Linked DNA regions of Drosophila melanogaster. The protein of the gene in region 1 interacts with the protein of each later gene in a pairwise test. Each region holds a gene or a part of one and is shown on either strand. Other genes may lie near its edges.

What was found.
Region 2: the proteins of Kpc2 (region 1) and CG11409 interact in a two-hybrid assay, tested with the Drosophila melanogaster proteins (one large-scale study listed by BioGRID).

The regions. Positions count from the first base shown.
Region 1 is NT_033778.4:19,668,677-19,674,205, forward strand, and holds Kpc2 (Kip1 ubiquitination-promoting complex subunit 2), read left to right. Parts: upstream 1-1,941; 5' UTR 1,942-2,078; coding exon 2,079-2,473; intron 2,474-2,486; exon of another isoform or gene 2,487-2,590; coding exon of another isoform or gene 2,591-2,607; coding exon 2,608-2,619; intron 2,620-2,684; coding exon 2,685-3,174; intron 3,175-3,229; coding exon 3,230-3,565; intron 3,566-3,617; coding exon 3,618-3,921; intron 3,922-3,984; coding exon 3,985-4,133; 3' UTR 4,134-4,801; downstream 4,802-5,529.
Region 2 is NC_004354.4:1,338,405-1,343,601, reverse strand, and holds the start of CG11409 (uncharacterized protein), read left to right. Parts: upstream 1-2,014; 5' UTR 2,015-2,277; intron 2,278-5,197. Other genes in the region: Naa30A (N(alpha)-acetyltransferase 30 A), read right to left, coding at 67-312, 388-1,110.

The DNA.
Region 1 (5,529 bases):
CGGTTTTTTAAAAAGTGAATCACCTAATATTTGAACTAAATATTTGTGGGATACACATTCATCACGTGATAAGGGCTACATATATACAACAGTTACTACTAAATTGAAATTACCCTTTTCTTCCTGTGTAGCAAAACAGTTAATTGACAATTACAATTTACTTTCGCGCTGAGTAAATGCAAATTGTAATGTGCGATAAGATATTTCTGATAGCGCCGTTATATACAAAAAACATAACAATGAATTTCGCAAAGCAGCTGGGCACACTGGTTCACTGGATAGCCTTTCGGGCATATAAACAAATGCGTAAAAGAAATTGGCAAATAAATTAGCGGTTGGAGTGGGTTGCCGTAGCTGTTGCTTGTAGCAGAATAATTGTGACAATGACAAACATAAACAAAGAAAGCGAATATTTATGCGCCTGCACCACCCCCCTCTCACCAACGACAATCCTCCCACACAGGTAAACGGTGCTCTCACGCACGCACTCACGCACACCCACACAAACAGGCACGCGCCGTATACATACACACACGAGGGGAAAAGTTTTCTCTGCTTGTTTTTGCTTACCTGCGCTTATTCTTCAGATTCTTGGCCTGTTTTTGTTGTTCCCGTGCCGCCGCTTCAAACAATATCTGAAGGTGTGTGTGTGTGTGGCGTGTCGTGCTGTTTGTCCGCTGCATTCGTGAGTGGTGCATATGTATGTATGTATGTTTGTTTGTTAGAACTTTTGGCAGGAGAGTGTATCCCATTCATGTGCTGTTGTCGCTCCGGCTTTTACTCTTTTCGCACGTTCGTCTTCCTCGCTTTTTTGCCGCACTCTTCACATTTCTTTTTTCGTTTCTTTTTCCGTTCCCGTTCCACCACCTTCCACTGCTGCTTAACGGACAGAAACTCTCGCGTTTTATGCTACGTGACGCACACGCACACACCGATATACAAATGCCAGTAGTCGACTTGCCAAAACGCAAACACAAACGCTTTCCGCCCACTTTTGTTTCGTTTCGGAGGTGACGGGGGCACACTGATAACACGACGGGATCGACGCTGTGGCGTTTAGTGGGCGGCAAACATATTTTACTAACTTTTAAGCCCCTGCGCGTTCTAGCAATAATTAAAATGTGTGGCAATCGATTGGATGCTTGTGGCAATCGTTATCGTTTCTTGCGGCGCATAGAGATGAGCCAATGGGAGTAGCTAGGGATGGGAAGATTTCCATGCTCTCTGCTTACGTATGCCTATTGTGAATGGACATTTTTAGTGAGAATTTTTAAATGATTTTTAGCAAATTGGTTTTAAATATAATGTGTATGAGCACCATTTTATTTCATTATCAAGCAGATTCGTTTCGCAAGTAATAAAAGTGAGAGTCATCTGCAAGCGATACCGCCTTAAGTAAAATAAGCTGAGGGCATAGGATTTACTATTGGTTCTTTTACAGTTGGGACCTAATCTGGCCATCTGCTTATTTGAAATCTGCGACAGATGTCACTTTTTGCACCTTTGGTGTAGGTAAATTCAAAACCCAATTTTCTTACCTGAAATTTGAAAACCCATTTCAAACTGGGATTTCAAGTATGTTTGGGTTTTATATGACGGGTCTAACCAGGTACCAATTTACCATTAAGACACTTAGATTGTATTACTAATAGTTTTTGGAAAATGAATTCTTTAATTCTATTACTATATTCGGGTAACTACTATTTATTGCAGTAAAGTAACAAAAGTATTTAACCCCAATGTTTTCCTGTTATTGTTATTGGCTAACGATAAGGAATAACATAGTTTTCTTCATATATGTACATATCACGATATATTTATAAAGTTCAGCCACATAACATATTTTAAAATAGTTTTTCATGTCAAAATAGCCGTTATAAAGATTAGGGGTATTCCCCATGGATATGGCCTATCTGGCAGCACCATCAAACAGCTGCTTGCTATCGACTTTACAAAAATAAAAATCGTTTTTTTTTTTTTTGCAATAACGCATCGATTCTGTTTACTTGCGAGAAATATGCAAAATAGCCATCGAAAAGTGCCGCAAAATGTAACAAACACCTAGCTGCAGACCCAAGATGATACCCTGGATGCGGGAGAAGTTCAACGAGAAACGGGCCAAGTGGTTGGCGCGTAGCAAGCGCAGCGGTGGTTCTCCGGCTGACGAAAGCCCTCGGAGCAGCAGTCATAGCCACAGCCAGCGGACAGACGCCAGCGATGCGGAGAGCCTGAGCGGATCCTCGTTGAATGTCCACACGGCGGAATCTGAAACGCAGACGGATGGCGGGATATCCGCTTCCAATTCGCGGCCCCTTGTGGGCGGGGGCAGTTGCGTCCTAAGGACTCCATCGCCCGCTCGCCGACGTCGCATTCACCTTGAGCTACAGCTGCAGCGACGAGAGGAACGTGCTGAGCATCAGAAGGTGGTGCCACAGGACTCGCCCACGCCCACTCACCAACAGCAGGCTAATGCGTAAGTTATCAAACCGAACGAATATGCTTATGTTTTTCAAAGTGCTCACCCGAAACAAATATTTGTCTTTCGAAATTCTCCGTTGGTTTGTCACTACCCATCCAACTAAAACAAACTATGCAAAAACTGCGCAGTTTGTTTCTCAGGTTAGTAATGCTTAGGTATTATGCTAATCTTTTAATTAAGTCCATTCTTAACGGAATCCACTTAGGAAATCAGCCCATACAAATCGCCCAGGTAGCTCTACTTCTGGCGAGGCAGACGATGCCAGCAGGCCAGGTGAATCTATCCTGGTGCGGGTAATCTGCCCCAGCTCTCGGGTTCTTATCTTCAAAACGGACGTTAATAAGCGCCTAAACGAGCTGAAGAGTGAGGTGATTCTGGAACTGAGCGACGATCCCGACTCCATCCAGCTATTTGCCCCAGATGTGCGGCATCTTAATCCGCGATACCGTCTCTATCGGGCGGAATACTTCGGCGGCGAGCTTAACGAGGGCGACACGCTGGCCCAGCTAAAAGTTCGCAACAATGAGACTTTCATACTCTCCCCACGACGCAATACTCTGCCGCAGACTGTTTCACGGATACGTGAGGTTCCTGGCCCAAATGAGCAGCTGGTGGAGAGCGCCACCCGATACGTGCCCGTCAATTGCAACCAGCTGCCCACCATCGATATTAATGAAATCTTTCAGCAGTCGAATGTGAGTACAATTCTTGGCTACTCCTTTGATTATTCTAATCCTATTCCGTTTCCAGATCCAATACGATGTGCGAAAGGTGTTGATCTCTTTGGCTCAAGCTTCTGCGGCGGTTATAGGAGCTGGCCCTTATGCTCCACGCCTGATAGCTATGCTAAAGCAACGTTTGATCAATCGCCGAAATCAGCAAGCGGATACGCTGCAATGCCTCGTGGACATGGGCTTCAAGCGGGAGCTAGCCGCATTTGCCTTAAAAGCACACAATGGCATTTACTCGACCACGATGGAGTGGCTAATACAGAACCAAAACGAGGAAAATCCACAGGAACCGCCGGGCATGAATATGCAGCACAGTCTATCTTCCATCTCACCCTCCACGATTGTCACCAATAATGTAAGTAGGAATTAGATTATCGCTTTTTAATGACAACCGTTTTCTTTTAAAGGAAACCATTGAAAACACTGCTGCCTTGATTGAGATTGTACGAATCTACAGCCACCGGGATTCCCCTCCCAGCGATGAGATTGTGGAATCGCTTACAGAAATGGGCTTCGAGGAGACGGCAGTGCTCGCGGCACTGAAGAAAACTGGCAACAACAAGGCGTCCGCGTGCGAATGGTTGTGCGACAATCGATCGGGTAGCGTTATTGAACTGCGTGAAGGCTTGGCGCCCGATTCGCCCATCCTAAAGGTGATCCTGGAAATGCCACAAGTCCAGATGACCCTAAGCAATCCAAAGACTTTTTTGGGTATGTCCATCTAATTAAGATAGCAACAGTTGAAATCGAAACTAATTGCACATACGTTTACAGCATTTCTGGGCATCCTGGAAAACGAACATGCGATACGCGTGTGGCGTGGCGACAACGACACAACCTCGGTCATCACACATATCCTTCAAAAGTACCATGAGGAGAAGCATGTGCTTGGCATCAATCAGTTCTATACGAACCGCTGGTGAAAGATGCCGCTAAGTGGCTTTACTATGAGATTAACCAAATTATATTTATACATATACATACACAATCACACACCCGAAGTGCATGGCTGTAGCTTGGTCCATTTTGGGGCTCTAATTATACATTGTGTATGTGCCCGTATGTAAAGAGTATTTTTGTAGCCAAAAACCATGAAAGTAAACTGCACAAAGCCAAAAGATGCAATCGCTTCGCCAAGAGCACGCGGCTGCACTCTACAAACGCTTACCGATCAGTACGAATTGCATTTTATACATACATATACATATATATACATACATACACATATATATACATACATACATATATATATATATATATATATATATATAAATATAAAATGTATCTATATCTAGTCAGGCCTTCATCCTACAATTGTATTAGGTTAAACAATAATTACTCTATTCATCTAGTTTGCTAGCTCATCTTCAGCCGAATCTCGCACTACATTTAGAAAATGTCACATACTGCATCCCACAGAAACAACCCATCAGTTTATAAGCGCTCGTACGTGTGGTGATTTAAGTGCGTTGTAATCCCAGGTTGTTTAAACCATCAACTTGAACTCAAAGTATTATTTTGTAAACCAAATATTCAAATTTGCATAGTTTTAACAAAATGCAAATAAATCAATTAGTTTTTGATACAAAACAAAAGAATTAATGTTTCTTTTATATCCAGATTATGTCGGTACTAAGGTGTAAGATGTAACTTTTTATATAGTTTGTAAGATTGGATAAAGTTTTCAATGACGGTCGTCCTCGTGTAGCGAATAGTTATTTTGTGTTTATTGTCGGACTTCTTCTTAAGTCAACAGTAAACCAGTAGTTCCCAAAATTGGGGGATTCTTTGTGTTTATAGCAAATAGATAAGTTGACTACGCATGACTCAAGCTCCTTTGAGTTCACCACGGCGGATGAGTAACATTTACAGACACTTTTAAACAAAATGAATCATCAGTGATAAGTTGGTGTGTACTCATTCGTAATTTAGAGCATATGTAAAGCTAAACATTTTCCATTACTCTTTCTAGTAATTTGTACAAATGGAATTGCTTTGTTGGCAGAGCAATTTGGATCTTTGCTGAATTATTTTGCTATTGCTCTTTTAATGTACAATTACAATTAATTTTCCATGCGGCCGCACATTTTTCATTTCATTATTCCAGCTGCAAACATGAGAGTAAACAAAAACAGTGAACCAAAACTATTCTATTCAATTGTTGCATTCTTTTTTCCACATATAATTAATTGTATTCAGCCTGGACGGGGAAAATAGTTGGATACATTTTAATTTATGTTAAGCGCGTTTATTAAGTGGTTGTTGCAGTGGTTGTGTATCCATGAATAAACTTTTCCTATCTGGTGACTTTTAATTAAT
Region 2 (5,197 bases), on another chromosome or scaffold:
GAGCATCGATTACATGCAACCCGATTTATAACTTATTGCAAGGGAAAGATGCCCCAGACATCCTACCTCTATGGCCTTGGTGACCAGCGTGGTGCCGATTTTGAGCTTGCGATACTCCTTGCGCACGGCCAGCATGGCGATGTAGCCGCGCCGCACGTTCATGTGCATATCCAGCTTGCACACGATGGCGCCCACGTACTGATTGTCGTGCGAGGCGAGGAAGCAGAGTTTTGGCCAATTGTAGATGAAGTAGCGATACGTGTATATCGAGTACGGCTCGGACAGCTCCGCCTGGATCAGTCGCATGATGTCCTGCGTGTTCGATATGCGGGGAATTAGATAAGTGTTGCGCACAGTTCGCACTTGGTCATACTTGGAGGTACTCACATGCATTTGGTGTTCAGCCTCGTATTCCTTATATACGATCTCGTCGGCTGAAATGGCAGGTTCCGGCAGTTGGAGCTGTGCTGTAATGGTGGGCGTGGCCCCCTCTGCATAGTCGGAGGGCGGTTGCTTCCTCTCCTGCTCCCGACTGTGGCCACTCCCCGTCGCCACATGCACTCCCTGTTCCACAGCTACATCCTCCGACACTTTTGGTTTTGGGTCCGTCGTTGTGGTTGGGTGTATGTTGGCAGTGGTTTTGCTTGTGGCTGTTATGGGCTTCTCCTCCGGTTTGAGGGAGTTCGAATCCGATCCTCCGCCGTCGCCTCCTTCTCTTCGCTGCTTGCGGTTGTTGTTGCTGCTGTCCACGCTGTTGTTGTTGTGAGTGCTGTTGTTGTTGTTGCTGCTGCCGCTTGTGCAGCGAATGTGATTGTTGTTGCTGTGCCCATGTGCATGGCCATTGACGACCTCCCCAAGCGGCCGAGCCTCCTGCTCCTTGTGACCATGGCCATTGCAAAGGTGCATCTTTTTAAGCAGGCCTCTGAGTTCCTGCGCTGGCTCCTGGTCTTCCGTCGCCTCCTCCTCTTGGTGCTGAACGTGTCCATTGCTGGGTGTCTGTGCCTCCACCTGGCCACTGGAATTTGGATTGTGATTGGGGTTCTTCTCCGCTGAGTTCTTTTTGTTCTTGTACTTCTTCTTTCCGGCCGCCGCTGCCTGGGCATCCGCCATTCTGAAAAGCGACGGAATTGGCTCTAAGAGGGAACCTGCTGCTCCTCCGGGGCTTATCTGGGAGGACTGGTAATCCTCGCCTGCAACCGTGTGCCTCGGACTTATTTTTGGTTATATTTTCACAGTTGATGGTTTTTCATTCACACGCACACGCACACGCTCACGCACATACTCACACACTCGCGCACGCACACATGGGGCAGTCGGCCGTCCTCTTTGTTGTGCTTCCGATATTCGGAGTTCCGGATCGATCAATCCGATCTCGATTTGTGGCGCTAGTGCGTGTGCATGGCAAACTTATGTAAAATCCTATATCCGCAAAACTCGTAATTTTCCTTGCTATGAATAAATCCCACCCACACATATGCGCGAACAGCTGTAACAGCAATCGATTGGCACTCGATACTATCGATACAATCATCGCCGGCCAACTGTGACTATCGGCTATCGAATTATCAATTGATATTATTACTATTAAATTAACAGCTAAGATTAATGAAAATATTTAAAAATTATATTAAATAAAATCTAAAACTACGTTGATTTTATCAAATTTATATTTGGCATGCACCTTACATCGCAAATGTTCATATATTTGATATTTGATTAGATTTGATCTTTGTAATATTATTACAATCTTTAAACGTAATATTCTCATACCTATATTCTTTATAGCTGCCATTTAATTTCTGACTTTGGAATGTTAACTTATTTGTATTTGCAATACTTTTGCCAAATTAGATCGTCAGCTTGTGCCTTTTTGCGAGGGTGTGCTGTACATAACGGAAAAGAGGATCAATAATAAGAAGAAGAAGCTGCTCATTTCAAAGTTCTCTTCTTGTTCTTCCTTTTCTTCTTAAAGAAGAAGCAACTATTTTACGGCGTAAAGATTTTTGATTTACGGGACTTTTGTTTGAAAAAAGTGCTGCAAATCAGTTTGAAGTGTTAGTTATAATTAAGTGCATGTCGTGGCAATGAGTAGCATCGAAATGTTACCCGAAAACGGATGGAAGTCCAATAAATTGCTCGAAACGTATGTTCACTTACACTCGCCATTTAAAAGTATACGTGTGTGTGTTTGTGTGTACGTGCGTGTTTTCTCCTGCGCTTATTTTTTTGTCTCTTTTGTTTTGTGATTTCCAAACTATTAAAAACGTTCTTCAATTGGTAAGTTACTAGTTAAATTCAGTTGTACTAATTAATAACTCTGCAGTGCGACCTTCGCCTACTTTTGGTTTCCTTTTCGCGCCATTAGCATTCGCCATAAAATAAAATCCATAAATTACAGCTAAATCAAATGCAATAAAACCAAATTACAATCTCGAATCATATAAGTCACATAAGTCACTAATCCGCAGTTTCCTGAGATCTGCACTTCCTCCACTTTCCTTGCCGTTTGTCTTGGTTGAGAACGCAGGATTATTCGGAACTTGCAAAGGTTTCGAGTCAAATGAAAATATAACCCCTGATTTTACAATGTATGTACATATGTATGTGGTAACTGCCAGGAGAAATCCGCCTGCCGTTTGCTGTCAATTTTGTGGATTTTTAACGACGGCAATCAGTCGACTGTTTTAGCGTTATAGCCCGTCGCTTTGATGGGGACTCCAGCTCCTCCCAACGTCATAATCGAAAGACTTGGGTAACGAACGAACTCGGCATGGCCGATGTCGTTGCCTCTCAGTTGGGCTGGCTGCCCCCAGAACTGGGACTACATCAGCACTAGCTGGTGACGAAATCGGCTGGGGAGGCCAGGCGGTCTCGATCTTCGATCTGCTTTCGGACCAGCATAGCCTACTTTGCATACGGAATTGGACTTGAATTTGATTGACTGAAATTGAATAATCCGAGCCACGCGATTGGATAATTTCTTGAAATTTTGCATACGAACTTGCAAGCGCAAGTTGGCGTCCGTTTTTCTGGACGTCTGTTTCACTTTTCGCTGTTGCTGCAGTGACGCGGGCAAATCCAAAATTAGCAAAGCAAACAACATACGGAGAAAGTGAATGGCCGAATAAAGTAAAAGCAGTGGCGGAGAAAGGGTAACGAAGAAAGGGGAGAGAGCGGGAGCGGACAGGTGCCGCAGCCAACGCCTTATCACCTTGCTGGCGGAGATCTCTAAAAGATAGAGATACAATTTAGCACTTAGCACCCACGTGACGAAATGATATATGCAGTTTGGCCACAATGGCATGGACTTCTTGTTTTAAACTATATTTTTTGTGTCGGTTGATCATGGTAACTGGCGGCTCCCCAGCCAACGGACATAGCATTGTCAGTTGGTTCGTCAGTGAAGTTGGTTCTATAAGTCAAGAGCTACGTATGCTAAGGCCACCTAAGGGTATTAGGGTATTTGGCCTGCGACCTGGGTATTTGACCAATTTTATTTTGCACATCCACGGCGCATTAAAGCAATTCACTTTTTGCGCGATGCTCCATAGCTCCATAGTTCCATAGCTCCAAGCCGAGCCCCACTCCATTCTCCCGAGCATTTGGCCGTGTCATGTCAAGAGTTATGGGCTTCGTAATTTTTCTGAGTTTTCGTTTATATATTTTTGGTTGTTTTAGTTCGGTTTCCTTTGGGGCTTTGTTGTTTGCCGTGTCGCAATGCTGCGAGTGTGCGCAAATGGCAAAGTCAAAGCGCATGCGCTCCAAATGTGAAGCACCTGGCCAAACCCTACCCCTAGTTCCACCTATGTACCTTACCCATCCCAAAACAACTTAAGTGAAGCATAAGGCATGCGGCTCGAGCTGAGCTAAGCAAACTAAAACCGCAGACGAATGTGTCGCGTCAGCGTTAAATTGTGTCAAATGTTGTCACACACAAAAAAGCAGCCTCAGCCTCCCTTTTTTGCGGCGAGGCGGTAAACACCGTTGTGTGCAAATGGCAAATGTTACAAATAACCAAAAATCGTTTTAATTATTTCGAGCAAAACGTGCCAAGCGCAAAATGAGCCCAACGTTTGTGGCCTGTGTGTGGCCCTATTGAGAAACTAGGTTTAACTGCGTCTTTAAATTTGTAGCAGTAATCGTAAGATAAGACAGAACTCTCATGTTTTGCAAACCCAATGGATTTTCCCGGCCGGTCCACTTGAAGTCCGGAGGGATCAGAGCGATCGAGTGGCAGCGATGGGAAGCACTGGAGCCCGAGTTCATTGAGGCCCATCGACGGTCTTCGATCGTTGAACGGCTATATACAGACCATGGCTGGCCGCGCTCCTTGTGCGTGAGTTTTATTATGCAAGCGGAGCGGAGCAGAGCAGAGACCACATGGTAATAAAAACCAAACCAATATTAGTCCGCTACATTGCGGGGCGCAGCAGCAGAAAGCCAGAGAAAACCGAACCAATCGAATTTGTCAATGGGGGAAAGAAGCTGGCCGAAGTGAAATGCCCGTGCGCTAGCAGAAACCCGTCTGCATCCACGGCAGAGTGCTGTTTACCTGTTCACCTTCCCTGGCCAGAGCCATGCTCCGTCTTATCATCGTTCGCAGTGTACTTGGTCAAGGCAAGCCAGCCACTTTTAACCGGCGATCAACCGATTTGATGGGAGCTGGGCGATCAGCGGTTACCACGACCGGCCTCGCGTCGCGATCGTAATCCCTCCCAAAAATGTCTTCTAAGCCAAATCGATTTTTAATTGAGACTTCGGCGCCAGAGCGCTGCACCCTGCGTTGCCCAGGGCAGTACTTAAAGAACCAGCCAACTAGCAATCTGCTATCGCTATGTCATGCCAATCATTCGAGATGAGGCCTCGTTATTATTAGGTGCTAAAATCGTTCAATCTGCAGCAAAATAGTTTAACTCAATGCAAGCTTGAGCCGTATGGTTACTATTTCAAATGTTATTGCAGTACATATAACAGTCTAGTATAGTACGAGTGTCGGCACATGACGTGCATTAACATGCCTTTTTAAATTGCTTTGTGTTAAGTGTGTTTTTACAATGAACCAATTTATGTAATGGCTCCAAGCGAGCCTAATAGATGGTATCGTATATGTGAGGCCAGCAAGTTGGAGCACCGAATCTAGGCTACGAAATGTAAGTTTATGCCATGCATTTCAAATGGGATTAAATGGATGCATCTA